3 linked regions of the Mytilus edulis genome follow. The protein of the gene in region 1 purifies or fractionates together with the protein of each later gene. This does not show direct contact. Links are inferred from orthologs where the notes say so. Each region holds a gene or a part of one and is shown on either strand. Other genes may lie near its edges. The genes, in order: importin subunit beta-1-like, ran GTPase-activating protein 1-like and nuclear pore complex protein Nup50-like.

The links.
Region 2: the proteins of importin subunit beta-1-like (region 1) and ran GTPase-activating protein 1-like purify together in Homo sapiens (affinity purification with mass spectrometry; 3 studies listed by BioGRID and IntAct, with this or other methods). This does not show direct contact. The link is inferred for Mytilus edulis from reciprocal best matches to the Homo sapiens genes KPNB1 and RANGAP1.
Region 3: the proteins of importin subunit beta-1-like (region 1) and nuclear pore complex protein Nup50-like purify together in Homo sapiens (affinity purification with mass spectrometry; 4 studies listed by BioGRID and IntAct, counting the BioPlex papers as one, with this or other methods). This does not show direct contact. The link is inferred for Mytilus edulis from reciprocal best matches to the Homo sapiens genes KPNB1 and NUP50.

The regions. Positions count from the first base shown.
Region 1 is NC_092357.1:50,290,708-50,302,293, reverse strand, and holds the start of importin subunit beta-1-like, read right to left. Parts: upstream 4,640-11,586; 5' UTR 4,504-4,639; coding exon 4,464-4,503; intron 1-4,463.
Region 2 is NC_092351.1:73,534,227-73,545,839, reverse strand, and holds the start of ran GTPase-activating protein 1-like, read right to left. Parts: upstream 4,417-11,613; 5' UTR 4,326-4,416; coding exon 4,211-4,325; intron 1-4,210. UniProt on the Homo sapiens protein: GTPase activator for RAN. Converts cytoplasmic GTP-bound RAN to GDP-bound RAN, which is essential for RAN-mediated nuclear import and export. Mediates dissociation of cargo from nuclear export complexes containing XPO1, RAN and RANBP2 after nuclear export.
Region 3 is NC_092350.1:13,544,430-13,555,453, reverse strand, and holds the start of nuclear pore complex protein Nup50-like, read right to left. Parts: upstream 4,893-11,024; 5' UTR 4,719-4,892; intron 3,185-4,718; 5' UTR 3,164-3,184; coding exon 3,095-3,163; intron 2,668-3,094; coding exon 2,581-2,667; intron 1,948-2,580; coding exon 1,560-1,947; intron 541-1,559; coding exon 172-540; intron 1-171. Other genes in the region: PHD finger protein 21A-like, read left to right, coding at 10,390-10,455, 10,791-10,823, 10,958-11,023. UniProt on the Homo sapiens protein: Component of the nuclear pore complex that has a direct role in nuclear protein import. Actively displaces NLSs from importin-alpha, and facilitates disassembly of the importin-alpha:beta-cargo complex and importin recycling.

The sequences.
Region 1 (11,586 bases):
TAGATACATGTATATGTATGCATAATATTCAGAACACATGACATAACAGAGCTCCAGTTATAAGAATTCAAGAAATGTTTTTTTAACCCATCAATTTTGATTTAATTGAGTGAAAAATTTCGAGAGTTAAGTATCTTGTGTTTTATTAAGGTTTATAATTTTTTTTAGTCAATTGCCTGAGGTCTATAGCTAAGTGTCTTGGATCAGACTTATATTCATTTACATCACAAACAGCAGCAAACTTTTTGGACTCTTTTTGTTGTGCATGATGATGTATTGATTTTGAGTCATTGATGGATATATTTTGTTTTTCTATATACATGATATATATCTAATTATAAGCATTTGATTTACAAGGAAAATTTTATCTGAAGATGTAAAAATTTCAATTGAAAATGGTTTAACAGGTCAGTGATATTGTTTGCCTCAAATTACAGCCGAAATTCGGCTTTTTCCCCTAGAGAAAATTTCCAATAACTAAAAAAATGGCTTAAAATTACTCACAAAAAGTTTTACATTTTCCCAAAACAGTGATGGCATTAGGGTAATGTTTGTAAATATCGTATTCATGTCATTATTATGATAATAGAAAGCACTTTTGAGATCCAGATTTCTGATCAGAATCATCATGGTGTTTGTAACACATGTGGTTTTCAATGCATTAAGTACCATCATTGCGTCTGTTTGACAACCAAAATATACATGAAAAAACAGTGCAAAAAAAGACAGCAAAGGTCAGCAAAATATCAGAGATGTGTTTAGAATAAAATAAACAAATTTCAAAATTTCAATAAAAAATATGCATTTTCCCCCAATAAAAAACGATAGAGGTAGTTTTGAAAAAAGACAACAATATCACTGCAGGTTGGGGGACAATTAACTATTCCCCAAATGTGGTAAAAAAAGGTTTTCTGAACAGTTTATTTTATTAAAATCACACATTCTGATATTCATGGAGAATGTCTCCAACCTGTTAAATAATGCCCAAGAATATGCAACCAATCGATCTCTGAAATGGAAAAAATATCAGTCCAAGAATAGCAAAAAATCATTCCAAAAATATAGCTGAACCAATTAAACAACAGCTGGAGGAATATCTTACCAACACTGATACATATGAGCACCAAGAATCTCCATTTGGTAAGGCTATTAATCAGGCTATGGATATGCTAATAACAACAAAAGTAGACATAAAACTGATAGAACCAGAGTTTTACCTACAAGCAGGGATCTCCATGGCCTGTTTAATGATGGCGACCCGCCATCGTTCAAATGACTCGCGCCATCGTTAAATTGTCTTGCGCCATCGTTCAAAACTTCATCGTTTTTTAAAGCCAGACGCCATTTTTTTTATCAATTATAATCAAATGCATGTAATTGCATGAATAACCCTTAGACCTTTTATGTTATAATACAGTTCTGACGCCTGAGGGATATCCGGATCAAGATCGCGAATCACTTGTACCTGAGCTTGTAGAGGTAGATCAACAAACCAGACAAAATACTATCTGAGGATAGACGATCCATTTGTCGAATTAATCAACTAAGTTTCAGCAAATGATTATGATAATTTAGATTAAATAAATAAATTAATAATCCAGTTACAAAGAAAACAGTTTAACAAGTCGAACACGTGCTTTATTTTGACTTACGCAATCAGTATCCCCCCTTTTTTAAGAATTACAAAATAAGATGCAAAACAGTAAATATTATTTCATCGCAAATAACTCGAGTCCTGCTGTAACGATAATTTAGAATTTCTTTAAAAGTTTAAAAGTAAAAAACTTAAATATTTCCTGTAAAGAAATATCGTATAGTAATTCCAAATTCATTTCGTATGTTACAATCAAATTGATACATCCGCGTTTCCGGTTTCTATTCAGACTCGAAAGATGCATGTTGCACAACATCAATTTGCCAGATAAAGTCATTAAAAAACCTTTTCATTTGTCAATGTTTGCTTTACAAATCTCTTTAACCCTTTAAATAACCCGTACGAATCGTTTTGTTGGTGCTGCAAATCAGCCATACCGGTAATGGGTTCTGAATTTAACAGTGTCCATGAAAAATAAGCTCCACATCATATGATTTTTAACCCCCATAACAATTACCAAAAATACAAGAAATCTACATGGGGACCTTCATGACAGCTTTTGGTCATTCTTGACTAAGGGGGTCCATGAAGACTTGGCATTTGAATGGTTAAAAACGGCAATAAATGAAAATATTGATACTTCTAATTCTATAATGAAAATTCAAATAATTTACATAAGCAATGAATTAGCATGTTCACCATTCCTTGTATGGAGGGATAAAATACTTCCAATCGCGCTACACTGTACAGCGTAGACACGGTTTGTAATGGTGAAAGTTCCTCCATCGTTCAATTTCCATCCATGGAGATCCCTGTACAAGGCAGGAGTAGACTTTATGCTGATGAGAGCACCAAGCTACTGCGAGTTGTTTTGGAAGCTCTAAAAACAGAACTGCAGAGCAAACTGCCCAAAGCAAACAAGTAGTACAAAAACTTATGGGAGAAAACTCCGAGTCAACAGCTATCGCATTTACAGATGGCTCCTGTCAGGGAAATCCACGACCTTGTGGAGCAGGAGCAGTTATATATACTGAGAACCAACAAGGAACTAGCCTAAAAAGACCAGTAGCTAGAAGAGGTTCAATACTCTTAGCGGAACTCATAGCTATCCTTATGGTCCTAGAACACTGCATTTACACACTTAGAGAACAGTTCACTGAAATAAAGATCATATCAGATAGCCAGACAGCGGTTGGCATCTTGACTCTCAACTGGAAGTTATCGAACTATACAGACACTATTACAGACATGAAAGAAAGCATTGGGACCATCCTGAGAGGCAGTATACAAACTACCCTATCTTGGATCCCAGGCCATGCTAATATAGCCGGGAATGAGATAGCGGACCAGTTAGCAAAAGATGCAGCACAGGAGGCCTCAAATCTAAATGACCAGTAAAACTTCATAACCACGTCTGATGTAAAAAGCACAGTAAAGATGTCAACCAAACTAAAATGGCAAAATAGATGGACTAGAAGTGAAACTGGGAGACAACTACACGAATAAGTTCCTATTGTAGGCAAGACCCATCAACTTGATTACCCGAAACCAAACTATTAGGAGAATCATGTCTGAATTCAGAACTGGCTACAATAGGCTAAATAAATATCGTCATCAGATACTAACAGAGAAATTTAGTACCAGGATTTTTCATTATATGTAATATGCCGTCATTGCACAACTATTCAAATGAATCGACCATAGTTTACATAAATAAAACTGAAAACAAGACAGTGGCCTCCAAAATTGAAGTTGTGCAGGTGTCTTCGTACATGTCAACAAATATTATATCTGAAAATATATTACTTCTAATTGGTGCTTTTTCTACTAAGAATTTTAACTTCAGAAATAAAATATCTTCAAGTTACAATGATTAAGGTTCATGTGGACCCTATGGCTAAAATGGCTGTATTTTCACCTCAAAATTTACTCTTGAGTACAGGCAAACCTGTGCATCTGAAAAAGTTTTAAGGCATAGCATGCCCTAGATAAATAGAATTCAAATGCATTGTATGAATTAGAAAATTCACAACTTAACTGGAATTTGCCGTTCACTTTTTTTCGTCCCTGCAGAAGATGATAAAATTAACAGTTGAGTTTACCTTGATATGGTCCACTCAGGTACACACTTTAAATGACCAATTATTGTTAGGTATCTATTGTCCATCTCATGTCCATGTCAAGCAATACAGCTCACTTCAATTATTACCTGTGGGGAAGTTCTCAAACCTGTTTCCCAACTTAGTTTATTTTGGCACCTTCTGGAGGAATGAAAAAAGTGCACGGCAAAATTCTGGTAAGTTTTTATTTTTCTAAAACAAATTTGAAATTTATTTATCTAGGGCATGCTATGCCTGGAATTTTTTACAGATGCACAGGTTTGTCTGTACTCAGAGTAAATTTTGAGGTGAAAATACGGCCATTTTAGCCATAGGGTCCACATAAACCTTAATGACCTTTCATGATCACATACAGGTCAACCAGTACAGTTCATTTAAAAATCAAAATCGTGATTTTGTTAGTGATAACTGTTTCTGAGGTATAATAGCCATATATCTTCAAATAAAGCTTAACCTTATTGATCATTTTCAACTGCTGATATTCAAAATAGATACAATGGACAATTTTGCTACTTGGCATTTCACAAAGTATGGTGTTCGTTTTTTTTTTATCGTTGATCAGTCTAGTTCAGGTTATGTGATGGATTCTTTTAAGAAAAATAAACATCTCCGATCTTTTCATAAGCAACAAGTGAATGTTGACAAAATAAAAAGACATTAAAATATATTCAGAATCCCATGCAGTCCGCGAGAAAATATGTGAACAATGTCAACTGGTGAATGAATGAATGTGGAAAAAAGTGAATTACCAGGCGAAATTGTTTTCTCTAAAATGCTAACAAGGTCCATCTTGATGTCTACAGTGTAAAAATGTGTTTATATATTCTGCTCGTTCCTGAAATTTCTTTAAATTGGCCGGTCAGCCAGTTCCCATGTGGGAAGCGTGATAATCCAAGATGGCGAAGAGAAGGTTTGCCGGCAGAAGTCAGCCGAGGTATTTTAAAAGGCTTGTTTTCATTGGACGAAAATGAACTATTTGCAGAATTCTTGCAAAATGTATCCAACCAAATTAAGGTTTATTTCAGAATGAACTATTTCACATCCTTTCTTATTTTTGCAGTTGACTGTAAAAAAACTCGAAAAAAAAGGAATCACTTGACATTGTTTGAATTTCAAAATACAATGAGAATAACAATAAAAGGTATATTTCGACTTTAACTACCAAAAATAATAAATAGATTTTATGTATCCGACAAGAAATGTGATTCGGCCAAAACATTTTCCCGCCAAAAAATGAATACTATCTACTTGCAAGCTTGCAGTTTCGCCAATTTTTTTCATTCCCCCAATCAGGGACTTATAGTATAGAAAGTCCCTGCCTCAATCGAATGATATCAATTGCCTGTAACCTGTCTAAGAGCACCCATCAGTCATCTTGTGTATTTCAAATTATTTGATTCTAAAGTTTCCAAAAAAAAAATCTCGGGTTGGAACAATACTGAATTATTTTCTCCAGGAACATAAAGTTGTTAACAAACTGTTCCCAGCTTTCTCAGACAGTATTGAACATAAATATACAATTAAATGATTCATATTACTTGATTTTATTGAATGTTATTTTTTAATCTTGAACTATATTGACGTCACTTTGTTTATGCCCTTAATTCGACCGGAGTCTGCATGGCCTGCATGAGAATACAATATTCATCTGACATCTATCTGGGAACAGTATATCTAACATAATATATATGTTCCTGCATCTATAGAATAGAATACGGAATATTTTTATTTCCCAAATAACAGGGCCCATTAAGGGCATAAAATCAGATACAATTGATTATAATTGGTAACCGTCAGTACAACAATAAAAGTCACAGAGTACATGATATAAATACATATTTAGTAGAAACTGTATATTAGCATTGGTCAAAATCAAGCCAAAAACCATATATTTATTGTGAATAAAAGATTTTTTTTTACATTATATTCATTCTCAAATCATTAACGAGGGAGGGTAGGAGGGTCCTGATCCCGAAATCCCGGACTTAAAAACACCAGATCCCGAAATCCCGGGCTTAAAAACACAAAATCCCGAGGTCCCGAAATTCGAAAAAAAGAATTCCCGGATCCCGAAGGGGTCAATCACGAAATCCCGAGCTTAAAAACACCCGATCCCGGAGTACCGATAAAGGTCCTATCCCCCTCATTAACTTGACTTTTAGTGTCAATACTCATACCTGATCTCCTTAATTCAAAACAGTCACCAATATAACAGCCCAGTTTTTACATAAGAATTACATTTTCTTTGGTCAAGGGCCATAAACATTTAGAAGATTTATTTAAGATTTTAAAATTACATCAATTCGGTTAGAAATGTATTGAAAAAAGGAACTGTATATTTGAACATACAATTGCTTGATCTATATAAGTCTGGGTGGGTTCTTCATGAAAGCGAAAAACAATTAAACTGCACCCCATGACATACTGAGAACCCATGCCCGATGTACAGTAAATATTGATGCACGTGCTTCCCTCGACCTAACACGGGTGTCCACCGATGCAGGACGTGACAGCCATACTGCCATGACGTCCACAGGATGTATCGGTCATACCCCGAAAAGATGAAACGGCCACACGACAAAAACGGCCATACTTTGTAAAGACGTATCGTCCATGGTTTTTTATTTTTATTTTTTATAGATGTTATATATGAATTATTTTGATACTTATAGATGGTTATTATAACTTTTGAATAAACTATACTGTTTTTACATTATCTATCATGTTTAATTTTGTTAAATCCTCCGAAAGAAGGTTGTTAATTGCTTATTATTACTCCTTTGATGAACACAAGTATTAATTATGCTTTTGTCAAGAAATTATAAAGGAAATATAATATATTAATTCGAGATCACTATAAAAATACAGCACCCAAGCTGAGACTCAGAGTTCAAGCGGAGTGCAAACATACATTACGTAGTAAACGAGATAATGGGTCAAAAACTGGCACAAAAGAAGTTGTACCCGACAGAATTCAAACTGCACGCAAAACTGTCTATGCTCTAATGGGCGCAGGCCTCCATGGCCTTAATGGTATGAATCCAAAAGTGTCTCTTCATCTCATTAACTGTTATGTAATCCCAAGGTTATTGTATGGATTGGATGTGATTTGTCTGTCAGCAAAAGATATTAAAAACCTTAGTACTTATTTCATTAAACTCATGAAACAAATACAGCACCTACCAGAAAGAACTGCTAATACTGGTACTCTATTGTTACTAGGTCAGATCCCAATTGAAGCTGTTGTTCATAAGCGAATGTTATGTACTTTTAGAAACAGTGTAGCGAACAAAAACTCTGTTGAATATAATATTGCCAATAGACAATTAGCTATTAAAAGCAAGGCATGTTCTGAGTGGTTGGACTGACATCCATAAAGGCGTACCACATGGTTCGATACTAGGGCCATTGTTGTTTAACATATTTATAAATGATATTTTTCTTTTTGTTAAAAATGGTAGTTTATATAACTGTGCAGATGACAATACTTTGTCTTTTTGTACTCCAGATTTCGATTTATTAATTTCAACTTTGGAAAATTGGTTTTCAAAGGTTTAAACAAATTACCACCAGTAATGCAAGTCTTAGATAGCATTTCATATTGTTCGGCATTTTTTCTCTCTTGCAAAGAAACCGAACATCAAGTAAATCCCTCACATGTTAGTTTACTTTTGTCTGTATTTCATTGGTACGTTAATGATATATCACTATATATAAAGTTCTATCCTGTTACCGAGGCCGTAACTAGGCATCTTATTTTAGTGAGGAGGGTATGAAATGAATGGTGCAAAATCCTGCATTCTAGGCATTTTTAGAGAGTTTGATAATGTTTTGAATTGGACACTTTTTATATAAATTTTTCATATTTTAAGACTTTTACTAACACCAAATTTTTAACAACTTTATGTAAATTTATATGTAAGATAATAATCCAAATATCACTGATTTGAGTCTGCTGCCAGAACATAGAACAAACATAGATTCAGAAGAGTTTGTCAAATTTTTCTATGGCCGGTTCAGTCAAATCGTTTTAGAATCATAATTTGGTCTTCTGATATCCTTATCGCGATGAACATGGAGCATGGCAAGACCGCACAATCTCTCGCTCTTTTCCAAGTTTTCAGTCGTTTCAGGGCAGTCTGTGTTCCTAAAAGTAGCACATTATCATCAACACAATGATCAATGTCTTCTTCCAATTCCTTCTCCATCAGCAATTCGGTAGCAGCTTTTGTTTGCAAAAGGGAATTAAGCTTTCCTGTAAGCACCATCAGTCGCAGTTACAAAATATTAAACTCGCTTTTATGCTGACAAAGAGTAGACAAACTAGGGATAGAATGAGATAACATACATGTATATGATTCTATCTATAGAGTAAGTATATATGATATGGGTACAGGGAAATTGGAATGGAGTTTTTGACGTTTACATGTAGTTCCGTAATTTCAAATTATTTCTGGAAATAGTTGGTGGTATTTTAGTTCCAGAATCTATAAATTTAGGGGTTAGGGGTTGGGGTGTCCGATTCCGAAACCCCGAATATAAAGAAACGAAATTCCGTAGTCCCGAATAAGTAAAGACAAATCCTGTGTTTAATTAATTTAATAAGGTTCTACCATTCCTCAATAATATGGGATATTCTTTCAATTTTTAAGGTTAAAGAAACATGGATAAAAACTAATCCATGCATTCATGTTTCATATTATTTATATTTTATTTATCTGTAAAGAGAAAGATTAAAGTTCGTGAAATGAATACGCAGATAGCACTGCCCCCTTGCGATGCCCAGTACTTGATTTGTCAAAAGTTGGTGAAACGGAGAAATGAATACGCAGACAGGACTGCCCCTTTCCGAAGACCACTACTTGATTTGTCAGTCTACTTATCGTTTTTGGATTGTTCTAATGAAGTTATATGCAATACTCAGACTCTGTTCACAAAAAAAAAACTAGTTTACTAGAATTATTCCTTCTTTACCTTCAGTGTCGCTTTTCCTTTTTCTGCAAGAGCCTGTTTTTAACTAAAGATCCATGATGATTATCGTTACTAGATTAATGTTACCGAGAAACATCACCCGTTGAGATGCTGAGTTATATCCAGGAAGAATAGTTTAAAAGGAATGATGACAAGTTATAGCAATTAAGGTTGAGACAGAACAACAAATGACTATTATCTATACTATTAAACGAGAAGACCTCATTTTTGGTGTCGCTTCTCCTCCTTTCACAAGAAAATAATCATCATGCCTCTGTGTCCTATAGGTAACATGTATAGTCGCATTTGTCATCCATTCTTATGATCATTAAGTTTGGGTTATTTTGGGATAAAAAACGAAAAAGAATGCGTCCGGATATTTTCCCGTCATTGGACAAAACTTTAAGTCAGATTAGACTTCCGGTTTGTGTTTTTCTGTACTTCGAACATACAAAGACTATGAAATAAAGTATATGAATTTGCTTTCTGCTATCATTTTGAGATCTAGCATGTATCATCCTTGCTTAACGTGTTTCAGTTTGGGTTATTTTGGGAGGAAAACGAAAATGAATAATATTTGCTATTTACTATCAATTAGTTTACAGTGGCGGATCCAGAACTTTTCATAAGGGAGGGGGGGGGGGGGGGGGGCGTTGACTGACATAAGGGGGGGGGGGGGTTACTCTCATGTTTCCCCATATAATCTACAATCTTTTTTCAACGAAATGGGGGGCAGCCCCCCACCCCCCCCCCCACCCCATATGTATATAAGTACCTTTGACTTTTGATACCTCTCCTGAAATTCTCTGTATTGAGTAATTAAAGTATATATGCATGTTCATAGAGTACAGAAAAACAGAAGGTATAAAAATCTGTATTTGGAAAATAGGAGGAGGGCAAAAAAATGTGCCCAGTCCCTAAGTACCTTTGAATTTTGATACCTCTCCTGAAATTCTCCAGTCAGTATATTTTTTTTACAGTTTACATACGCTCTATTTCCCCGCGATTTCGCGGGTGTGTTCTAGTATTTATATATATGTATAAAAAAAAAATAATCAGTGTCGAAATTTTAGTGAGGCAATTGCCTCACTTGCCTCAAGGGTTACCTTTTTGTCTATCCTGTTACCGATATCAGTATTTCTCCTGCAAATGCTAAATTGGGAAGATTTTTTTCATTTCCTGAGGTTGACTATTACTTTGAATAAGTACTGTTATGCCAAAGGGATCAGACCGTTATTTATGATTATGTATGATTACATATACAAAAACCCATCATAAATCATATTAATCCAATCATTGGACGCGTATCTCTAGTACTGATCTGTTTAATGCAAATTCAGTTTACAAATTTCGGAGGTGTTAATCCTTTAATTAGTTTACGTGATTGCCAACCAATTATCAAACAAATTTACAATTATTAACGTGAAGGTGTATGCTGTATGGTTTATATGTGTGTTGTATATTTGTTTGTCTGTATGACTGAATGAATAAATAAAATATATTAAACGAAAATATTATCTTTTTGTGTTTCTTATACTATATTGGTATGATTGTCCATAAGCTTCAGACAGTCCATAATACATGTCTCCATCAACAAATGCACAAAAAGGGGAACATCTAAATCGTCAAAAAAACAGTATTCAACCGTGACAATGAACAAAGCAATACGAACATTCCTGAAACCATAATTTATCATGTTATTAGGAATGACTCTAAACTATAAGAAAGAAGAAAAACACAGAATTATTAAACTATATATATGATGATCAGGACAAATATAACTCGAATTGCCTTCCGTAGAGTTAACCTTTACACTGAGTACTGTTTGAAATTTCACTTAGACTGATTTTCTCTACAAATCTTTTGACTCGTAAAAGTAGACTATAAAATCATCACAGATTTGTTTAGAATAATATACCTTTTACAGATATAATAAAAAGATCGGTAACATGTGCTTGTAATTTGTATTTATATATATCGTCATCGACAGCGGCAGTCAACTCCTATAGTTTCAACTTCATATAAAATATATTTCTTGAAAATTATATGCAAGTCAACTAATTTGTTTTCCTCTAACAAAACTATATCAAATATTGTCATTTATTACCCTTTGTATATTTCAATGATTGAATTGTGTATATACTAGTAATATATATTGTAAATTAATGTATGAATGTATGAATGTTAACTGTATGCATGTATTTTGTTTGAGGGCCTCAATGAAAATTAGACTATTTCTAATTGAGTTACCCTCTTTAAATAAAGAATTTATTATTATTATTATTATTATTATAAGATGCCTTTATATCACATCATATTTATGTTATTACTATGAATGCATACTTATTTTATTATTATACTTTATGTTATAACCTCAATAACAAAAAATTAAAGTGTGGACGATACGTCTCACAAGGTATGGCCGATACGTCCCATGGACGATGTGGCGGTATGGACGATTTATCCCCGGCTTAGTATATATCTAGGATTTTGATTGGTTAACGCACGTCGTTACAAAACCCATAGCCCCTGGGTGTTGCTAACCCATATCCCCGGACGTTGCTAACCATTGTCCCGGGGAACTTCACGCAATTTTTCCTTCGTTCCATGATTGCTCCTTGTGAAATATTGAATTCTGTAGATTATCCATGATGTTTGTAATGAAATATTTAATTCATTACAATTTTGTCCTATTATGTCGATCATTTACACTCATTTCATTAAATGCATCACTTGACTACCACATTTTCAAGGAATGGGACTACTGACCTAGCAATGCAAATGACCCATGTTGACGTCACACTATCTATGACGTAACTATCACAACATTGAGCGCCAAATTTGACTCAATCAAGTTTCTCTGTCTCCGTATTAAAAACGACTTATATTTGACTACCTGTA
Region 2 (11,613 bases), on another chromosome or scaffold:
ACCCTGCTATGAAAGAATTCTTAGTAGATACTTTGCTAGTGTATACATTTGTATTGTAATTCCACAATTTTTTAATTTGAAATGTAGGACTTCATAGATTTGTATTGTTTATGTGATGCATATATATTTAAAGGTGACCTCAGTTAACTTGAGTTAGATGGGTTATCTTTGTTGTTATTGTTATGGTTACCTAAGGTAACCCTGTAATGAATGAATCCTTCGTAGACACTTTGCTAGTGTTTACATTAATTGTAATAAACAAACTTCTTTATTTTAAATGTAGGACTTCATGAAAGTTATATTGTTTATGTGATGCACATGTAAAGGTGACCTCAGTTAACTTCAGTTAGGTGGGTTATATTTGTTTACCTGAGGTAACCCTGCTATGAAAGAATTCTTAGTATATACTTTGTAAGTGTATACATTTATATTCTAATTACACAATTTCTTAATTTAAAAATGTAGGACTTCATAGATTTGTATTGTTTATGTGATACATATATTTTTTTAAAGGTGATACCTGAGTTAACTTGAGTTATATTGGTTGTATTTGTTGTTATTATTGGGTTACCTGAGGTAACCCTGTAATGAATGAATTCTCTGTAGATACTTTGCTATTGTTTACATTAATTGTAATAAACAAACTTCTTTACTTCAAATGTTGGACTACATGACACTTGTATTGTTATGTGATGCACATGTTAAGGTGACCTCAATTAACTTCAGTTAGGTGGGTTATATTTGTAATTATGTCTGGGGTTACCTCAGGTACCCATGTTATGAAGAATGCTTTTGAGATAGTTTGCTAGTATAAACAGTTATGTTGTAATCGGACAATTTCTTTATTTTAAATGTAGGACTGCATAGATGTGTATTGTTTATGTGATATTTCTGAAAGGCGACTTAAGTTAACTTGATATGAATGGATTATACTTGTTTCTATTTCATGGGTTACCTGAGGTTACCTGTCATGACAGAATATTTAGTAGATACTTTGCTAGTATATCCATTTATGGTGTAATAAATCAACTTCTTCATTTTTAATGTAGGAATTCATTAAAGTTATATTGTTTATGTGATGTATATGTAAAGGTGATCTGAATTAACTTGAGTTAAATAGGTTGTTTTTGTTGTTTTTGTATTGGTTACCTGAGGTAACCCTGCTATGAAAGAATTCTTAGTATATACTTTGTAAGTGTATACATTTATATTTTAATTACAAAATTTCTTAATTCAAAAATGTAGGACTTCATAGATTTGTATGGTTTATGTGATTTATATATATTTAAAGGTGATACCTGAGTTTACTTGAGTTATATGGGTTGTATTTGTTGTTATTGTTATGGTTACCTGAGGTAACCCTGTAATGAATGAATTCTTAGTAGATACTTTGCTATTGTTTACATTAATTGTAATAAACAAACTTCTTTATTTCAAATGTAGGACTTCATGAAAGTTGTATTGTTTATGTGATGTATATATATATAGGTGACCTCAGTTAACTTGAGTTAGATGGGTTATCTTTGCTATTATTGTTATGGTTACCTGAGGTAACCCTGTAATGAATGAATCCTTCGTAGACACTTTGCTAGTGTTTACATTAATTGTTATAAACAAACTTCTTTATTTTAAATGTAGGACTTCATGAAAGTTGTATTGTTTATGTGATGCACATGTGAAGGTGACCTCAGTTAACTTCAGTTATGTGGGTTATACTTGTAATAATGTCTGGGGTTACCTCAGGTACCCATGTTATAAAGAATGCTTTTTAGATAGTTTGCTAGTGTAAACATTTATGTTGCAATCAAACAATTTCTTTATTTTAAATGAAGGACTTCATAGATGGGTATTGTTTATGTGATATATTGGAAAGGCGACTTAAGTTAACTTGATATGAATGGATAATACTTGTTTCTATCTTATGAGTTACCTGAGGTAACCGTGAATGACAGAATATTTAGTAGATACTTTGCTAGTATATGCATTTATGGTGTAATAAACCAACCTCTTAATTGTTAATGTAGGAATTCTTTGAAGTTATATTGTTTATGTGATGTAATTAGTATGGCGTTCATTATCACTGGACTAGTATATATTTGTTTAGGGGCCAGCTGAAGGACGCCTCCGGGTGCGGGAATATCTCGCTACATTGAAGACCTGTTGGTGACCCTCTGCTGTTGTTTTTTATTTGGGCGGGTTGTTGTCTCTTTGACACATTCCCCATTTCCATTCTCAATTTTATATGTAAAGGTGATCTGAATTAACTTGAGTTAAATAGGTTGTATTTGCTGTTATTGTTTCGGTTACCTCAGGTAACCCAGCTATGAAAGAATTCTAAGTTGATACTTTGCTAGTGTATACATTCATATTGTTATTCCACAATTTTTTAATTTGAAATGTAGGACTTCATAGATTTGTATTGTTTATGTGATGTATATGTATTTAAAGGTAACCTGAGTGAACTTGAGTTAGATGGGTTATCTTTGTTGTGATTGTTTTGGTTATCTGAGGTAACCCTGTCACGTAAAAATACGTCGTAGATAGTTTTCCAGAGTATACATTTAACTTCTAATAAACCATTTACTTTATCATTTTGGACTTCATAGATAAGTATTGTTTATATGATATTCAGGAAAAGCGACTTTAGTCAACTTAATTTGAATGGATTATATTTGTTGTTATCTTTGAAATAACATGAGGTATCCCTGTTATGAAAGAATACTTCGTAGATAATTTGTTGGTATATGCATTTATGCTGTAATGACACAATTTCTTAATCTAAAATGTAGGACTTCATAGATTTGTATTGTGTATGCGAGGTCTATATAAATGTAACCTGAGTTAACTTGAGTTGAATAGGTTGTATTTATTGTAATTATTGGGATTACCTCATGTAACCCTGTCGTGAATGAATACTTCGTAATACTTTGGTAGTGTTTACATTTATTGTAATAAACAAACTTCTTTATTTCAAATGTAGGACTTCATGAAAGTTGTATTGTTTATTTGATTTACATGTAAAGGTGATCTCAGTTTACTTCAGTTAAGTTAAGTGGGTTATAATTGTAATTATATCTGGGGTTACCTCAGGTACCCATGTTATAAAGAATCTTATTAGATGGTTTGCTAGCGAAAACATTTATGTTGTAATCAAACAATTTCTTTATTTTACATGTACGCCTCATAGATGTGTATTGTTTATGTGACATATCGGAAAAGCGACTTTAGTTAACTTGATATCAATGGATAATACTTGTTGCTATTTTATGGGTTACCTGAGGTAACCCTGTCATAACAAAATACTTAGTAGATACTTTGCTAGTATATGCATTTATGCTGTAATAAACCACTTTCTTCTTTTGTTATGTAGGAATTCATTGAAATTATATTGTTTATGTGATGTATATGTAAAGGTGATCTGAATTAACTTGAGTTAAATAGGTTGTATTTGCTGTTATTGTTTGGGTTACCGCAGGTTACCCTGTTATGAAAGAATTTTTAGTACATACTTTGCTAGTGTATACATTTATATTTTAATTACACAATTTCTTAATTTTATAATAGAATGTAGGACTTCATAGATTTGTATTGTTTATGTGATGTATATATAAAGTTACCTCAGTTGACTTGAGTTTAATGGTTGTATTTGTTGTTATAATTGGGGTTACCTCAGGTAACCCTGTCATGAATGAATACTTCAGATCATTAATTGAACTTTTATAAAAAAAAAAAAAAAAAAGTTTATAATTTTACCAGCCATCCCCACCCTACACGTACATACGAAATGAATGATCGGTGAAAACAAATAATAAAATCATTTGGGAAGTTTGTTGACATCTTTGGTATTTGGTCACATTAAAATTTGGTATTAAGATCTATCTAAATAAGAACTATATTTTCGTGCGTATTTAATCAATGACGCATTACCACGATTACCTCAGGGCACCGATTACCTCAGGGCATACAGCAGCGGACCTAACTGCCACCTGCTTTTGGCACGAGGTGGCGAAAAAGAAAATTGCCACTGGGGAAACCCTGGATATTAAGGTGTATAATAAGGCCCAAAGTTTGTAGCATTGCAGTGAATGAGTAAGCATGAAACTTTCCTTTAGCTTAGTATATCCATTCGGGTGCTACGTCAACACAATGCGCTTAATAACTTATATTTGTTTTTGTTTTGTTTGTTTGTTCTGTTGTTATTTATGATTACCATCAGCAGCGCTATTTAGCTTCAGTCCCTTATTTTTGAAACTTAGTTCATATGTTTCATTAACTTTGGTCTTTGCCAACTGTTCAGTTACTGATGTCAAGTCTTTTGATGACATTTTAAGGGTAATATTTGTAAAATCAAGGCAGTTGGGCCTTCTCGCTTTCAAGTTTATGGCGCTGTTTGTTACTTCCGTTTCAATGGTCTGACCAAATACCATGAATATTTATATATCGCCCAATGCTTTATTCGTCCCAAAATCAAATATCGCCACATTAAAAAAAAATGTTTTTAAGATTGGCTAGAACTACTTTTTCATACATCTAGTGTACTGTGCCATGAGTTCTTACGACCACTATTGGTTTTTTTGCATAAGATTTCGAATATATAAAAAAATAAATTTAGCTAATGTATTCACCGCCGGGTTGCGTTTCAGTTTTAAAGGATTTGTATCATGGCTAGATCTATACAAATCCTTGGTTTCAGTATATTTTGTATATATTTCTTTGGCCTTGTTTATTTCTTAAATACATTAAGTATGTGCAGGTACATATATGTTTCTGGTTTTTGGTTTGTTAGTTGTCAGTTAATTTGTTATTTTTTTTTTACTTTTTATAATTATTTTGTATGATTTTTTTCAGTAATTTTGTAATAATTTTGTATGATTTTTTTCAGTAATTTTGTAATAATTTTGTTAGATTGCATTGTCAGAGACAGAAAATACAATAATTCTAGGTTGTTTTTGTTTACAGGTCTTTTATAGTTTATTGTGTCTGTGACTCGTCCCTTTCACATTTTGAATAGTTTAGAAGGTAAAAACATAACGGATGTTGAGATGTGAGAACATTGGTTCCATTTTACATGTTTAGTTATTATCATATACTTGTTCTATAATATTTACATGTTTGTATATAATAAAAGTCAATGGAGTTATCGCCCTTACACAAAGGAAACAAGATTCAAGATTTCTAGATTGTATTTGAACACTCAGACACAGATACATGTTTTAGAGGATGGTAAAGGGTTATTTTCGTGCAACGTACGTGTTTCAAGTACCATTTTTATTTCACGCGCAGCCGTGCAAAAGGTTCGTTATTCACAGTGTTTCGTGAAATCGGAAAAAAAATCATCTTGCAAGAAATTTTTATTTGTGATTCTGTGCAAATACTTGGCCTCTTTTTACGCCCCTCGTGCAGCAAGATGTCATTCTTTTTAAAACAGTCAATAGAACTGAGGACAGTGGACTCTTGATATATACCATGGTTAAAAGTTTTGTGGTATATTGATATGTTGTAATTTGTGTTTTGACTTGTCACTATATTTTATACTTGCAACAATTGATATATGTATTATTTATTACCGGTATATGTATGAGTGTATGTTAGTTTTTGTTTGTTTTAGTTTGTCACAAACATGTATCATTTGTTTATATGGCAATACAGATTATTATTATTAATATTAGCATCACACGAACACGACGAAGTAAACATGTGGTATCAATAACATAGATTTATCGGTCGTCCCACTGTCTATATCACTCTGTTCAGCTCTTAATATTATTCCGTATCATGTCTTTGTGACGTCAAATACGTTGACCCGGCCTTAATAACTTTGACCCGGACATATCAGCGACGTCATAATGTTTGAACCGACGTTAATAACTTTGACCCGAACTTATCAAGTCATCTTTTGTGTGCTGGTGAAACAAAGAAAACACTTCCGAAACACGCAAATATAGCCCGATAAATCGATTATCAGATTATCTGCATATTTATATTGTAAAATATCAGCTGCTTGACATTATATGAAGGCTTTTTGATCTCGTTCGCTACGCTCACTCGACAAAAAGCTTCATATTATGTCTCGCAGCTGATATTTTACGATATCAACATGCAGATAACCTGATAATCGGTACATATCATTTAGATATAGCAATAGTATAGAAATATGTTTTTGATAAATACAAAAAAGTCGTTTATACAGTTGTACATTACATATTGAAAGAAGACCTTTGATTTTTTTATAATGAGAATTCACTGTGTAGTAGCTTGGTCGAAACTTTTCATTTAAAACAATAATATTTTGATAAGTATATTTTAATAACAAATGAAATTCATAACCAATATTACTCCTACACAAAGTACATATTGTATCATGTATCGAAATATTTTGCCATCTGCCTGTTTTATGCAATAGACAGACGCAGATTTGAACACCGAAAATGTGTAACTCAAAGCCTGCAATATTCAGGAAGTTTTAGAAGGTATGTTTCTAAAGTAAACCTTAAATGCAAAAATATATCCAATGCCAGTACTGATTAATATTATTGTGTCAACCTATACAATTTATCTATTTAAAGATTTAGGCTTTAAACCAAGCATCAGTCTACAGAGTAAACTGCTTTCATTCATTACTTGCAATTTTAAACCAAAATATCATTCTAATTTTCAACTTTATCTCCAGCTAGAGGAAATCTATCCAATTCTCCATTAACCATAAAAAAAATAGGCGTAGTGTTTATACCAACTTTTTTTTCCTTTAAAAATAAAATGTCCTGTACCAAGTCAGGAATATGGCCATTGTTATATTATAGTTTGTTTCTGTGTGTGTTACATTTTAACGTTGTGTTTCCGTTGTGTCGTTTGTTTTCTCTTATTTTTTAGTGTGAATTCACATTACTTTAAGACGTGTCACGGTACGTATCTATCCCAAATTCATGTATTTGATTTTGATGTTATACCCCGATTTTGTTTTTTGTCCATGGATTTATGAGTTTTGAACAGCGATATACTACTGTTGCCTTTATCTATATCAAATCAAATCAAATAATTTTATTGCCATATAAATCAAAAGCATGATCTGTGACAAACATAACATATATACAAAAATAGAAAAATACACTATTTAATATAACTTTCAGCGCCCTTTTTTAAGTGAGTCTCTTCGATAATTTTCAGTTTTTCAAAGTCCCAAACTAAAGAACCATACAGTGAGATATGTTCTATCATAGAATCAGAAAGTTTACATTGTAGATCAATGGGCAAAGGTTCATTTCGTATTATTTTGTAAACAGTGCTGGATCTTTTGGGCTTGATCTACAAAGTTTCTCTTTGATATCAAAAAATGTACCCGATTATATTTGAAAATGACACCCAAATACGGAAATGTATCTACATTTTCAAGTAAATCATTTTGCCACGTAAATTTCAGATTTTGTTATGAGTTCCTCTTGCTAAATATCATAACTCTAGTTTTCTTAACACGCTCCTTCAGGTTCAAATTTTTTGCAGTACAACGGGGAAATATATAAGGAATTTTGCAAGCCTAGCTTCTTTTGTTTTTGAAAAAAATAATTATATCATCAGCATACAGTATTACGAACAATTCAAAAAAATATATGTAGCCCGTTTTTAATTTTTCCTTTAAAGTTCTACAGGAATACCATCTAAATCATTAAATTATTCCAGATCGTTCAAGAAAATAGAAAATAGAAAAGGAGACAAGTTCTCATCTTGTCTAACACCAATCAGACATGGGGGAAAATCTAATTTTCATCATTATATTGAACCAAAAAAAAATATTACCTTGATACATATGAAAAGAACTTTGCAACATGATTTTGCCCTTGATTTTACGAAGATATAGGTATTGCCATAAGCAAGTTCTTCGAATAGCGTCAAAAGCTTTTCTACAGTCAATAAATGTACAAAAAAATCAAAGGAAAAAAATATAATTCTAAAGTGCATGTAACACAACAATACTATCTGTTGTGCATATTCTTTTCTAAAAAAAACTTTATTGTCTTGTATAATAGAAATTGCATTCGCAAACAAATTTAGTCTGGAATTTATCATAAAAGTAAATAATTTTTCCAACAGCTGATAAGTGTTATAGCTCTAAAATTATCAGGGTCTGAAAGAATTGCCTTTTTTTTTGTAACACGGGTTTAAAACACCACTTGTCCAAGAGTCTGGAATGATTTACAATATAATGATGCAAAAACAGGAGGTGAATTTTTCAAAAATTCATTAAATATTTTTTCTGAACCAGGAGCCTTCGGTTATTTTTCAAATTCCTCATCGCTTACAAGATTTCTAATTCAGTAATATTTCCATTCAAGATATCAACAAAAATGGGATTAATAGATATCTGATTAATGTCAAAATTGCCTGCTTGTAAGTTACACCTTCAGTTTTGTAAATATACACTTGGTATAAGGAAAACTTCATCAAATTTAGGTGCAAGAGCTGATCTGGGGAGACTTCCTCTGGAACTTAATATTAAATTTCAATCTATATTGTATCTTATTAGATTATATTCTGATGAAATTAATCCTCTTTTAAAAGAATCCTTTATTTTGTCTCAAAACTTAGACTCGGCAGGAATTTATTCTTGGTTCTCATATGTAAAACATATAGTAGAAGAAACTGGTATGGGTTTGGACACTTTGAAAACATATTCCTCACAAAAGATAACTAAAAATATAAGAGAACAAATAAAATTAAAATTGAAGCATTTTTATGAAAAACTAGTAAATGATAAACTATCAGATATAAAGGATAACAGCAAACTCACTATTTATAAACATGTAAAAATAAATAATACAGAAGAAAAATATTTAACTTGCTCAAAACTTGAATTCAGAAAACTGATAACAAAATTTAGATTAAGTGATCATAATCTATTAATAGAAAAGGGAAGATACCTTAAAATACCAAGAGAAGAAAGATTATGCAAAAACTGTAAACAAAATGAAGATGATATTCATTTCTTTTTATATTGTAATAGAAACCATAATAATAGAAAATAAAATTGAGAATGGAAATGGGGAATGTGCCAAAGAGACAACAACCCGACCATAGAAAAAAACAACAGCAGAAGGTCACCAACAGGTCTTCAATGTAGCGAGAAATTCCCGCACCCGGAGGCGTCCTTCAACTGGCCCCTAAACAAATATATACTAGTTCAGTGATAATTAACGCCATACTAATTGCCAAATTGTACACAAGAAACTAATTTAAAAATTAAAACTAATACAAGACTAACAAAGGCCAGAGGCTCCTGACTTGGGACAGGCGCAAAAATGCGGCGGGGTTAAACATGTTTGTGAGATCTCAACCCTCCCCCTATACCTCTAGCCAATAGAAAAGTAAACGCATAACAATACGCACATTAAAATTCAGTTCAAGAGAAGTCCGAGTCTGATGTCAGAAGATGTAACCAAAGAAAATAAACAAAATGACAATAATACATAAATAACAACAGACTACTAGCAGTTAACTGACATGCCAGCTCCAGACTTCAATTAAACTGACTGAAAGGCACAATCCTTCCCGTTAGGGGTTTAGTATCATACCATCATAACATACACGAGCGAATCGTACAAGTTGAGATATATAAACACCGTAAGATGGTGACAAGGGAACGTCACCATCTAAAAATGGATAATTAACGATAGGAAATGAAAAATCATCTCTTTTATCATAAAATTTAGTATTCAGCTTTCCGTTAGTGATATAGATATCAAGATCGAGGAAAGGGCAGTGGTCATTGTTAGTATTAGCTTTATTTAAAATAAGTTCAACAGGATAAATTTCCTTAATATACATACTGAAGTCGTCATTATTGAGAGCCAAAATATCATCCAAATATCTAAAAGTATTATTAAATTTGTTTATCAGATGTTGTTTCATGGGTCTTTGCTTATTTTTGTCATAAAATGTAACACATAGCAATACAAAAACAGGTCCGCAATAAGTGTTGCACAGTTAGTCCCCATTGGAATTCCGATAATCTAACGATATACGGAATCCCCAAAGCGAACAAAAATGTTATCTAGTAAAAATTTAAGGGCATATATAGTATCAAAGCATGTCCAATTGACATAGTTTTTTTGTTTATTGCTACTAAAAAATGACCTATAGGGTAGAAAAATCAAAACTTTGAACAGATTTAAAATCACCAATATAAGCATGTAATTTATCAAGTACTTCCAACGAGTTTTTGACGCTCCAAAAGTAATTAATTCCACTATTTTCGAAGGCCTTATTTGAACAATTTATTATCAAGTTTTTAATTGTACCAAGTGTGCTGGTAAGAAGAATAGACAATTTAGTAGTGGAACAATGGCTTGAAGACGAAATAAATCTATATTTGTAAGGTGTTTTGTGTAGCTTCGGAAGCCAGTACATAGTTGGGACTTTCATTGTATTTGGCTCTGCTTGTAAAGCGGTAGCTAAAAGTTTATGTTTGTTACAGATGTCGTTTTCTGAAAATGGAGTCAGTTGGAATGTTGTTGAATTGGTGATTTCTTTTTTCAGAACCTCAATTTAAAATTTACGTCAAACAATAATAATATTATTAGCAGCTTTATCGGCCGGGACAAAAACAAATTTCTTGGCTAGTTCTTTTAGTTTATGTTTGATACGAGAAATAGGTTTTTTGTGGTTATTGTTAATAGTAAAATGTTCTTTAAAATGTTGAATACGTATATCAACTATCTTCATTACTGAATTAAAAAAAGAGTCCAAAGATTTTTTGTCAGCTTTTTCCCGTTTTATCCATTTCATACAGTAAGTATTGAGTGAGTCGTGGATGGTATTACGACACTCATTCCAATCAATAATTGACGGGGGACGATATTTAGGTCCTTTACTGAGGAATGATTTTAACTCTCGGTCTTGAACGATGTTAAGATCTCCTGTTATAATATGGGAAATGGGTCCATAAATATATTCGGAGGTACTACAATTACATGAAGTAGGTGTATTTTCACTGATATTAACATCTTTACACAGTTGACTATAATTAAACACAAATTTCCGGGTAGATTTCTTGTAAATATAACAAATAAGAGGTAGCTCAGTATTGTCAAAATATCCAGGAATGTGTTCTTTAACAGAATGGTTGTTAAATATACCGGCAATATTTACAAAATCAAAACCTTTATTGGCATACTTTATTTTGATAAAATGTTTTTTATGATCTTCAGGGCAATCAATTTTGGGAAATAGTTTAGAATAACAATATGCCATAATAATTTGAACAATTTCATACTTAGGACTGCTTTATGAAATTGTGTTGCAATCCTCAAAAATTTTATTGCGTAAACCCTCAGTTGTGTAAACCTGAGGATTTACGCAGTATATATTGGACGATATATGTAGTCTTTCGGAACACCGGATGTTATTCGGAATACATCTGTCCTTTCTATTGCCACCTTTCATATACATGCGCAATAGCTTATCAATTGACCTGTTGAATAAGCATTAGCATCATGAGTTGCTATAGAGATGCAAAATTTATCATGACACACGCTATGTTAATGAGCATTTGAATACTTCCTTGCACGCAATTGCAAGCTGCTAATATTTACCTTACATATATCCGTAATAATTATTTTAATT
Region 3 (11,024 bases), on another chromosome or scaffold:
TCCAGGAACCGTTAACTTAAATTGACTCAGTATCAAGAATAGTGGTCTTAGGGTATGTTATTTATTTCTCTTTCGTCATTCTACCATCTTGGGACTTTTATCATAACACTTGCATGTATGTTAGTTGTTTTTTTTAAAAGTCATTAAAAATCTGAGGCAAAGAAAATATACCTTGACTAGCACCACTCTCTCCAGCTGGCTTGTTTACAGCAAATGAGAAACCAGATGTAGGTTTACTCTCTGTGGAAGACTTGAAACCAAACCCTGAGAAACCAGTAGCTGTTGCGCCAAATCCAGTTGTTGTAGTTGAGCTGGCACCAAAGGCTGCAGTTGTAGTAGGAATAGAACCAAACCCGGTTGGTTTAGTTAAACTGGCTCCAAACTGGAAACCAGTTCCCAATGGTTTGGTCTCTGTAGTAGTTGCTGTTTTAGAATTGGGAGAATTACCAAATGCAAAACTTGCAACAGATGGCTTGTTTTCTGTTGTTAAAGATGTTGGTGACATAAGAGAATTTCCAAGGGGAAATGTTGGAGCTGTTTCTGTAAAAAATAATAAATTACTATTTTACGAAAAACTGGTCTTACATCAAACAAATAAATTTGACATCTATTATGGGTTGAGAACAGTTAATTTCAAATAGAGGTGTGCCAATGTGTATACATCGCTAAAGTTTCTATCCATTTTGAAGACAAAATTCAAACCGTACTTTTTGCGACAATACAAAAACGAGTAATTAATTCTGTACTCATTTCCCAGATTAGTTTGGTTATCAAATTGACAGGAAATCATCTGCTTTTTAAATTTATACCTTTGTTAGTGTTTGAATATTAATGATAATGGTTGCACATGTTTTTTTTAGCATGAAATCATTTTGCATTTTACGATTAAGTGGTTGAATCTGCGAAAGAGAATTTCCACACATGCATATTACATACATGTAGTAAACAAAGCATGCATGTCAAGTAAAAATTACTTTTTCTATGTAAATTAATTTAAATTTTCATTTGATTTTAAATCAGAATTGACAATTGTATTAGCTGAAAAGTAATCAAATAATGAAGATAGTTTTTATGGAATTTTAATTTCTTTATAATATTAGTTCTGAGCCTGTGATCAATAGTCAGGTGTGAATTAAAAACACAGATAAAGAGACTAAAGAGATTAGCGATCATCAGCCAATATATCTGTGAGGCATTAATATAGTTATAAGGAGGGCTCTCAGGATTATAACACTATACAGGAGTGGCAGTTTTATTACAGGGAAGGGAAAACAAGACAAAAACCTGTGCAAAATGGCGATGAAGAAACCCAATCTCAACGAAATGACCAAAATTATTTTTGTTAAACAAATAAAATTTGTCCCAAATCCGAATCTGTCGTTTGGCACAAATAGATTCAGAATCGGTTACGTTTGGCAAATATGACCATTTCTGGACTCTTGCTCACCTCCTGATTCAATTTTACGCTCAGAATCCATGAAAGTTGGTAGCCCGCAAATTATAAAGAATTATACCAGATTTAAAGACTGTTGAATTTACAGTGGTTTAACAGGACTTACTTGTGTCTGTTTCTCCTTTTGATTTCTCTCCAGTTTCTGTTTTCTCTCCATCTTTATTTTTCATTATTTCTTCTAAATGTTTCTCGTAGTCTTTAAATACAGGAGTCAATATACAAAATGGATTCTTATCAACATGACTTTTTATCCATGATAAAACACTTTCATTCAAATTTTTCAAACTTGACAAATAAGATCCTTTCTTTTTCTCAGCACCATTAGATGGTGGAAGTGTCTTTGCTTGTCCATTTTCAGATTCTTTTGTTTTCTCCGTTTGTTTTTCATCCTTTTCCGACCCACCATTGGTGACCGATCTAACATTAAAAGAGAATGGTGTACTAGCTGCTGTAGGTTTGAAACTAAAACCAGAAAACCCACTGAATTCTTTGTTCTAAAAAGAAAGAAGGTTTTTAATATCAAATCTATAACTGAAATTTATAAATATTAGTTGCTTAAAGGGACAAAATATATAAAGAAATAAAAACTAACTTCAGGATGTACTCATATCACTCCATTTTGTATCAATGTACAAATGTATATATTTCTTTTACAAAGCATTTAAAAGATTAAGGTACATGTACAATCTACAAGAAGACTTCGTTTGAATGGTTTTACATTAGTAATTTTTGGGGCACTAATTTCTAGCTTGCTGTTCGGTGTAAGCCAAAGCTCTGTGTTGAAGGCCGTAACTTGACCTATAATGGGTTACTTTTATAAATTGTTACTTGGATGAAGAGTTGTCTCATTGGCACTCATACCACATCTTCCTATATCAGTTGTCACCCTACTTTAACACATTATTCTGAATCAAAGCCGACCACTCTTTGATGTTATTCCACAATGCAATAATATACACTGCAGAGAGGCAGCAAATACATATTTCAGAGATGTTGATCCTACTAGGGATGGAACCTACAAACTCCTGCACTCTACGTTAGAAACTAAGAAGAAAAAGATGGTTATTCTTTTATTACAATATTTTTATAACTTCCAGTAACTAGCACAATTGAATACATTGGAATACCTGAACTGGAGCTGCACCTCTCCTTTTTCCTTTCAGAATTTGTCTTCCTTTTAATGATTCTTCAGTGGCAAGCTGGATTTCCCCTGCCTGAAATTCAACAATATGTAAAGTTAAAAATACAGTGTTATAGACTATCTAAAAATGTACGTACTTATCGACATGTGTCAGGTATATTCAACATGTATAATAAATATGGTTCATGTGGATAAGAAACTCATAATTTGTAACAGGTCAACTACTTTATGTCAGATTGAACTAAATTTGAATACATGTTGAAAATATCTTTATGGTGGTATTCCTATTCTATAAATAGAATAAATTACTAGGTAATCAGTGTAGATCTTTATACGTATGCATGCAAATTTTGATACAGGAATACAATTCATTTTTCGTTACTTTTCAATGAAATTAAGAAAATTCTTTTACCTTATTTTGCGTAACCTGGCGCTTGAAAAATTCCATGATAAAAATATTACCTACATATATGAATTAGTCAGTAAAATCCCTAACTAACCTCTTCTGGTTCATCTGCATCGTCCCAATTTCTGTCAGTTAATTCTTTATCTGCTCGTCTCTTTGCCATATTTTAGTTAAAGATAAATATCTAAAAGAAAGATAAAATTGAAATTGAATATTCAAATAAAATTTCATCTGATGTTAGGCGGATTAACCATGTTAGCGGGATCCTGACCCTCCCCCTAACCTGGGACATCGAGTTCATTACTGCAAGCTTTCTCAACATTCAGAACTATTTGTATGAGCTTTTTCAACGTTAAGCACTATTTTAGAACCTTTCTCAGTGTTCAGTATAATTGAGAAAGGAAATGGGGAATGTGTCAAAGCGACAACAACCCGACCACAGAGCATACAACAGCGGCAAGCCGAAGGCCACCAATGGGTCTTCAATGTTGTGAGAAACTCCCGCACCCATAGGTTTTCTTCAGCTGGCCCCTTTAAAAATATGTATACTAGTACAGTGATAATGGACGTCATACTAAACTCTAAATTATACACAAGAAACTAAAATTAAAAATCATACAAGACTAACAAAGGCCAGAGGCTCCTGACTTGGGACAGGCGAAAAATTGCGGCAGGGTTAAACATGTTTGTGAGATCTCAACCCTACCCCTTTACCTCTAGAACTATTTTAAAGAGCTTTCTCAAAGTTCAGCACTTTTCTATTAGCTTTCTCAACATTTCAGCACTAGTTTGTGACTTTCTTAACGTTCAGCACTAGTTTGTGACTTTCTAAACGTTCAGCACTATTTTCATTTAACAAACCTTTTCAGTGAGAACAAAAAATATGAGAATTGCTTCAGTATTAACCATCTGAGCAAAAGAAGTACTTCCAAAGCTCAACCATTTATATAGTACACTATAGTTTAATCCAATATAGCCCAACTAACTGTGAAGAGTAAATAAAATTGAGAATGGAAATGGGGAATGTGTCAAAGAGCCCTATTTAGTAGCTTAGCATTTGCAATGTACACCTTATCGCTATTTGTCCGCCATTACTGTAGTGGGTCTCATTGGGGTCTAAGCGTGACGCGGGATTGCCGATTTTTTGTAAGCGCGACACGTAAAAGTAAAAAAATTATTGTGGGGTGAAAAAGGGAAATGAGGTCTTGCGGGACCCGGGAAATGACAAAAAAAATGAGAATTGCTTACGTACATAGTGTAAGCGGGATACGGGAATCTGACAAAACAGTAAGCGGGATCCGGGATCGGAACCCCCCAATGAGACCCCCACTGTATACATGTACATGATGTATCACACAGGTTCCCGTAAAATTCAAACGTCATAAACCAAATATCTGACGCCACAATGGAAAAGTGATTGTTGTATGACATCAAAAATTCAAACGGCCAGGTCAGCGGGGATTAGCGAAATAAAGGTGTTTCATGCTTATAAGTTCAAAGGAAACAAAATACATGAAGAGAGGAAAACTTGTACTCCATTAACCTTAATTTATCCAATCTTATTCTATTCATCTACAATGTGTTATGATTCAAATCTCTTCCAGTTGCACGTGGTTTATCTTACTTAAAAGAGTTTGGTTTTTTTTTGTGTAAAAACGGCCATATTTGCCAGTCAATAACTCTTGTGGAAATTGGACTTCGAGAAAAGCAGTACACACCTCTCCGTTCTTTCAAATAATTATCTATGATGTAATTGACTACTGCTATCCTTAAAATCAACAAAATTTTGTTTCTTTAAAGGTCTATCGAGTCTAACTTCAATATTTCTACAGTTCAATTTTTTGCAGAATGATCCCCATGGAGGCTGACATGTTGGAAATCATTACGCCTCTAAGTAAAAGGGAAACTGTTAAGATTTTTTTATGTTTATGTCTTAAATTTATCAAACTGATACACATATTTTTTCGTATTGTTGTTTGTTGCATTTGGTTAAGTTTCGATCATTTTATGTTTGAATATATATGAAAATAAAATTTATTTAAAAAAATATGTTTAAAAAGTAGTCCAAGAAAACATTTCGGTCAACAAAAATTGAGGTGCTCCACAAAAGACAGGATGAATATAACAGAAAGTCCGCATAATAAAAACCTTTTTTTTAAATTGCATTCGGCCTTTTTATGCCGAGAACTCTATTTTGAATAAAGCTTTACAGATCTCTAAAAGATTTAGATTATAGCTACGCTCCCGTGATTTTTATTATCTAAATCTTTAGAGATCTGTAGATCTAAGGCTTTATTCAAAATAGTGTTCTCGGGTATAAAAAGGCCGAATGCAATTAAAAGTTTTTTTTATGCGTACTTTCAGTAAAAAGTTTTTTATTTTTTTATTTCACAACAGTTAATTGTTCTAGAAAAATAGTAAAGTATGATTTTGCATTCTAGATTTAATCTTTTACACAAACTAGAGACTCTCAAGAGCTTGTGTCGCTCACCTGTATTTTATGATGCTTTGAAAATCATGTTGAAAAAAGGTTTAAACATAATCAACAGTATTCGATATACAATATCATTAGACACTATAATTATATCTTACATAATAACAAAAAACTAAAAAATTTCTATAAATTACTATTTCAGGGGCAGCAACCTAACAAGAGGTTGTCTTATTCTTCTGAAAAATTCAGGGCAGATAAATCTAAATCTGATGAACATTTTTTACACCCATCAGCTTTGTTTTAATGCTTTTGTTTCAGAGGTATAAACCAAAAACTGCCTTTTACATTTATGTTCTAATTTTACCCTTGTCGGAGATGGGTGTTGGTTGGAAGGCAGGGTCATCGAACATTTTTTTTTACCAAGATACCCTAATGGTGATTATGGCTAAAATTGGTTAGTTTTGTCTCTGTAGTTTAAGAGAAGATTTTTGTAAACGTTAACGACGACGGACGATGGACGTCAAGTGATGAGAAAGGCTCACTTGACCTTTCAGGTCAGATAAGCTAAAAATCAAAACAACCTAAGTTGAAGGGTTACATATATTGTGAAAGGGGAAACAATTTAACTTGAAATAAACAAATTATTTACGACCTTAAGCTTAGGTAATGGCTGTTTATCAGTGGCGGATCCAGAGGGGGGGTTCCGGGGGTCCGCACCCCCCCCCTTTATTTTGGCCGATCAATGCATTTGAATCGGGACATATGTTTTGCACCCCCCCTTTGCCCTGGGCTAGCACCCCCCCTTTCGAAAATTCCTGCATCCGCCACTGTTTATCAACAGTGTGTTTGACATGTACACCAAAGCTGTCAAGTGAAGCCATGCACTGACATGGGTCAGTTAATTTGAGTTTACAAAGCTACTAGTTGAATGTATTGTCCAAGGAGAATTACGAATTTACCGGTTCTGCTAAGGAAAATCACTCAATATGAAATCAGTCTGAAGGCTTTGAATCCAGGTGACAACGGGTCATTTATTTTTCTAGGGTCACACCCGCAGAATACTGGTCAGGTTCGAGGTGAGAAGACGCCATACTGATCGATTTGACAATTTTTTGTGTAAAAAAAATCACTTTCATGTATTTAAAGCCATACTTGACTTTTCAGAGACAAGTGAATGCGTGTCGGACTGTCGGGTTGTCGGACTACGGGACTGTCGGATTATGGGTCTGTTGGATTATGGGTTTGACCCCAAAATCACAATAGTTGGTATAGCAGTGTCAGACACCTATGTAAAATTATTGATCTGCCTTGTACTAGTAACTTTAATAAATACAAATTCAGAAAATGTTTACTTTGCGTAGTTGTTTAAAAGTATCCTATGTAAAATCTTGGGAGAATTGTAAATATAATTTATATTTGACAAATGATTTAACATCAGCTCTAATGAACTAAGAAACAATGACAGCTCATAAACGAAAATAAGGAGAAGACTCAAATTCTTCTGAAGCAATTTGCGTCTGTCTTCAAAAAAGAAACAACACAAACATTACCCAAAACAAGCATCAGGGTAAAAGACTCCATATATCAAATTACCATCAGAACAGGAGGAGTGAAAAAAAACTGCTGCTAACCATCAACCCATCCAAAGCTTCAGACAATATACCAAATAGAGTACTGGAACAATGCGCAGAACATCTGGCACACTGATACTAACATCAATATTCCAGCTATCCCTAGAGACAGTGGTACTCTACTAGAGGACTTGAGAAATGCCAACATCTCTAGGATCTTCAAGAAAGGAGGCTGAAACTATAGGCCAGTCTCGCTAACATCAGTACCATGTAAGCTACTTGAGCACATTATATGCAGACATATGCTAGCTTAAACACCTTGACAAGCATAATGTATTGACTTCTTTAAACCATGGATTTAGATCTGGATATTCTAGGGGAGACCTAATTTCCATCCCAATCAACGACATGCTCCAGTCATACGACAAGGGAAACCAAGTAGACCGTCAATGCGATCCAGGATTTATCGAAGACTTCGATACTGTACCTAATGATCGACTCCTGCACAAAATAAATCAATATGGAATAAGAAGAAATATCCACAAATGGCTAACTTAATTCCTAACTGAAAGAAAAATGCAAGTCCAACTAGAACATATAAAAGGAGAACACTCAACTAATGCCTCAGTTGAATCCGGAATCCCCCAAGGAACAGATCTAGGATCCATCCTTTTTTTTTGTCACATAAATGATCTTCCAGATGCAGTATACTCATCAGTCCGACTATTTGCAGACGACTGCTTGCTGTACAGGGACATCAAAAATCAAAAACCAAAATAAACATAACAAACGGCTACAAGAAGATCTCAAATCACTAGAAAAATAGACCAACGACTGGGGTATGCGCTTCAACGCTAAAAAATGCTTTATATGTGCTAAAAGGGGGGGGGGGGGATCTGCTAAGCCTAGAAAGCAAATTCAAGCAGTTCTACAACCTTAATAACCACGTGCTAGAACAAGTGTTATTCAACTAACAAAGCCAGTTCCATGAAAGCTAGGCTTCCTTAGGAGAAATATACAACACTGCCCTAAGGAATACCGTAAAACAGCATGTATATCACTAATAAGATCCGTTAAAGAGTATGGATCAATTATCTGAGACCAATATACGCAAAAGGACATAGATTAATTAGAATCCATACAAAAGGGAGGGGTTCGATTCATCGCTAAAGCATACAAATCAAGAGAGAAAGGATGTATGACAAAAATTCTATAAGAACTGCAGCTTCCGTCAACAACAATGATTGATTTTATTTTTCAAAGTGTTTAATGGGAAGATACCAGTGCTCCCTCTCATGGACGACCTTATTAAATTTCACAGACTAAAACGACACTAAGGGCTACAACCTTTAACAACTTTATCACTAAGAACATGCGCACTGCAGTAGAGTGGTCTAGATGACTCGGTAGTGTGCGTCCCTACAACTGACGGGAGTTTAAAACTGCACTCCTCAGACGAACTTGCTTGTGCGCAGACTAACCGTCACACAATCATGCCGAAAGGAATCTGTGACGTATACATCCACATACAGAATTTCATTTTGGGAATACAGATACAGATACTTTGACAAGATGTAATTTTTGCTTTTAAAGAAGACAGCAATTATTTAAAACAGTGGTTTTCTTCAAATAAAATACAGGCCAATCTCTCTCTAGTGTTTTTAGATCTTTTAGCCATAGTGTATGCACGCTGTTTGCTGTTGCTAATTTTACGTAGCTGTGTGTTCATCCAAGGGTGGCTGTATCTCTCTTTAGTCTGTTTAGTTGGTACGTATGTGGTCATTACATTCATGATGATGTTCTTGAAATTATTCCACATTGCGTTGATATCACTGAAATTGCATGATTATACCCCACTTCAAAAAAAGGGGGGGGGGGGTATACTGTTTTACCTCTGTCTGTCCGTCCATCAGTCCGTCCGTCAGTCAGTCCGTCCCATGAAACTTTCGTCACATTTTTCTCAGGAACTACACATCCACCCTTTCTGTAATTTGGTATCAACATTTATATATGTCAGCCATACCGTGTGATGCGTTTTCAGATTCATCACTTGACAACTTCCTGTTTACCGAACACTTGTCTGATTTTACACATGATAGCCAAGTTGAAAATTTTCGTCACATTTTTCTCAGGAACTACAATACAAGGATTTCTGAAATTTGGTTTCAGGATTTATATAAGTCAGGTTTACCGTGTGATGCGTTTTCAGATTCATCACTCGACAACTTCCTGTTTACCGAACACTTGTATGATTTTACACATGATAACCAAGTTAAAAATTTTCGTCACATTTTTCTCAGGAACTACAATACAAGGATTTCTGAAATTTGGTTTCAGGATTTTTATAAGTCAGCTATACCGTGTGATGCGTTTTCAGATTCATCACTCGACAACTTCCTGTTTACCGAACCCTTCCATATTTTTACACTATTAATATTATCCACTTGCGGCGGGGGTATCATCAGTGAGCAGTAGCTCGCAGTTTCACTTGTTTAACTTGAATTCAGTGAAGTTACTCAGTAAGGCTTTTCTTGATTTCCACTCCATATTGGCATATTTCCAGAGGTTGATGGTTCTAAACTGGTTGGTTTTGGTCATGTTACTTTAGCTGCTAGCTAGGCCCAATAGTACGATGTCGTGGTCACTGCTTCCGATTGGAGGAAGTTAATCAACTGTGAGTTTATATCTAAAATTATATGAGTTATATCTTTAAAATTTCATATATTGTGTAGGAACTCTCTTGTAAGTTTCCAATGCCCGTTTATCGGTTAAGGAGGCTCGGTGGTCAACATGGTTGAGCACGCTAAAAGAAATGAGTTAAATGCTGTTAAATGTCTGTGTCATTTTGGTCTTTTAATTGTGGATAGTTGTCTCATTGGCAATCATACCACATCTTCTTTTTATATAAGGAAATGTATATGTAGTTGTAAATCATTAGTAATTTCTGAGACTGGTATAACACAGTACAGTGTTTAGTTTCAAGTGGTCTCATGTATTAAATTTCAACGGATTTAAGAATATTAACGACCATTCTCCAGATTGTATTCGCTAACACGTTTACACGTAGTGGAGCACAGTGGTTCGACTGTCGATGCATCCGCGTGTCAAAATAATTCTGTGCAAAAACTGTTTCAGTTAAATAGTAAGGTAAATTACTATCCTTTTTCTGATTTTTGATATACCAATGGTTCATAATATGACATCTTTTTGAACTATATATGCCATATTTAAATTTTGAAGAAACTTGAGCATATTCTCCGCAAAACGGAAGAGGTCAGTGATCGTTATGTGCCCGTGATGTGTTGCTCTGTGTAATTTTCTTGTTTTTAAGGAAAAAAATAATTAAAACAGAGTAAAATATTTCTGTTGATTCCGATATATTCTATGATGACAACTCCAGAGCTAGAATTAATTCAAGTGCAGCTGAAGTCGGCTATTCAAAATCATCAGGTAAAAACAACCAATGGTTTTCAAATGCAACTTTCTTATTTTCATATCGCAAAACAAAGTTGTGTATTAAATTTTGCATCGAGTCAACATTTATTGCTATTAATTTTATTGTATATTATTTGAATATCTTTGAATATGAATTTATTTATTAATTGTTTCGTTGGTTTTATTTGTGTATTTTCCCAAAAATAACCCAATATTTCTGTGTCGTTTCGTATGAGTGGTTATGAATGCGCACGTCACATTACACAATTATGGATAGTAAAAACAGATTTACAATAAAATTAATAATTAAAATATGATTTACTAGTATTTTGTACTTTTTATAATTTCAGATCCTGGTTTCTAAAATAAAGGCTGACCTACAGGTGAGGAAATTAAGTATTTTTACTGAATCATTGTTGTACATTTTATATGCTTGGGTATTTATTGATTTTTGTTGGACAAAGTTTCATTTTCCAGTTACACTTATACAAATAATAATTCATGTATTTCATTACAGAATGTGGAGCTGAAAACACAACTTCGTGATTTACAGAAACAGATTACAGTTTTAAGTGAAAAACAGG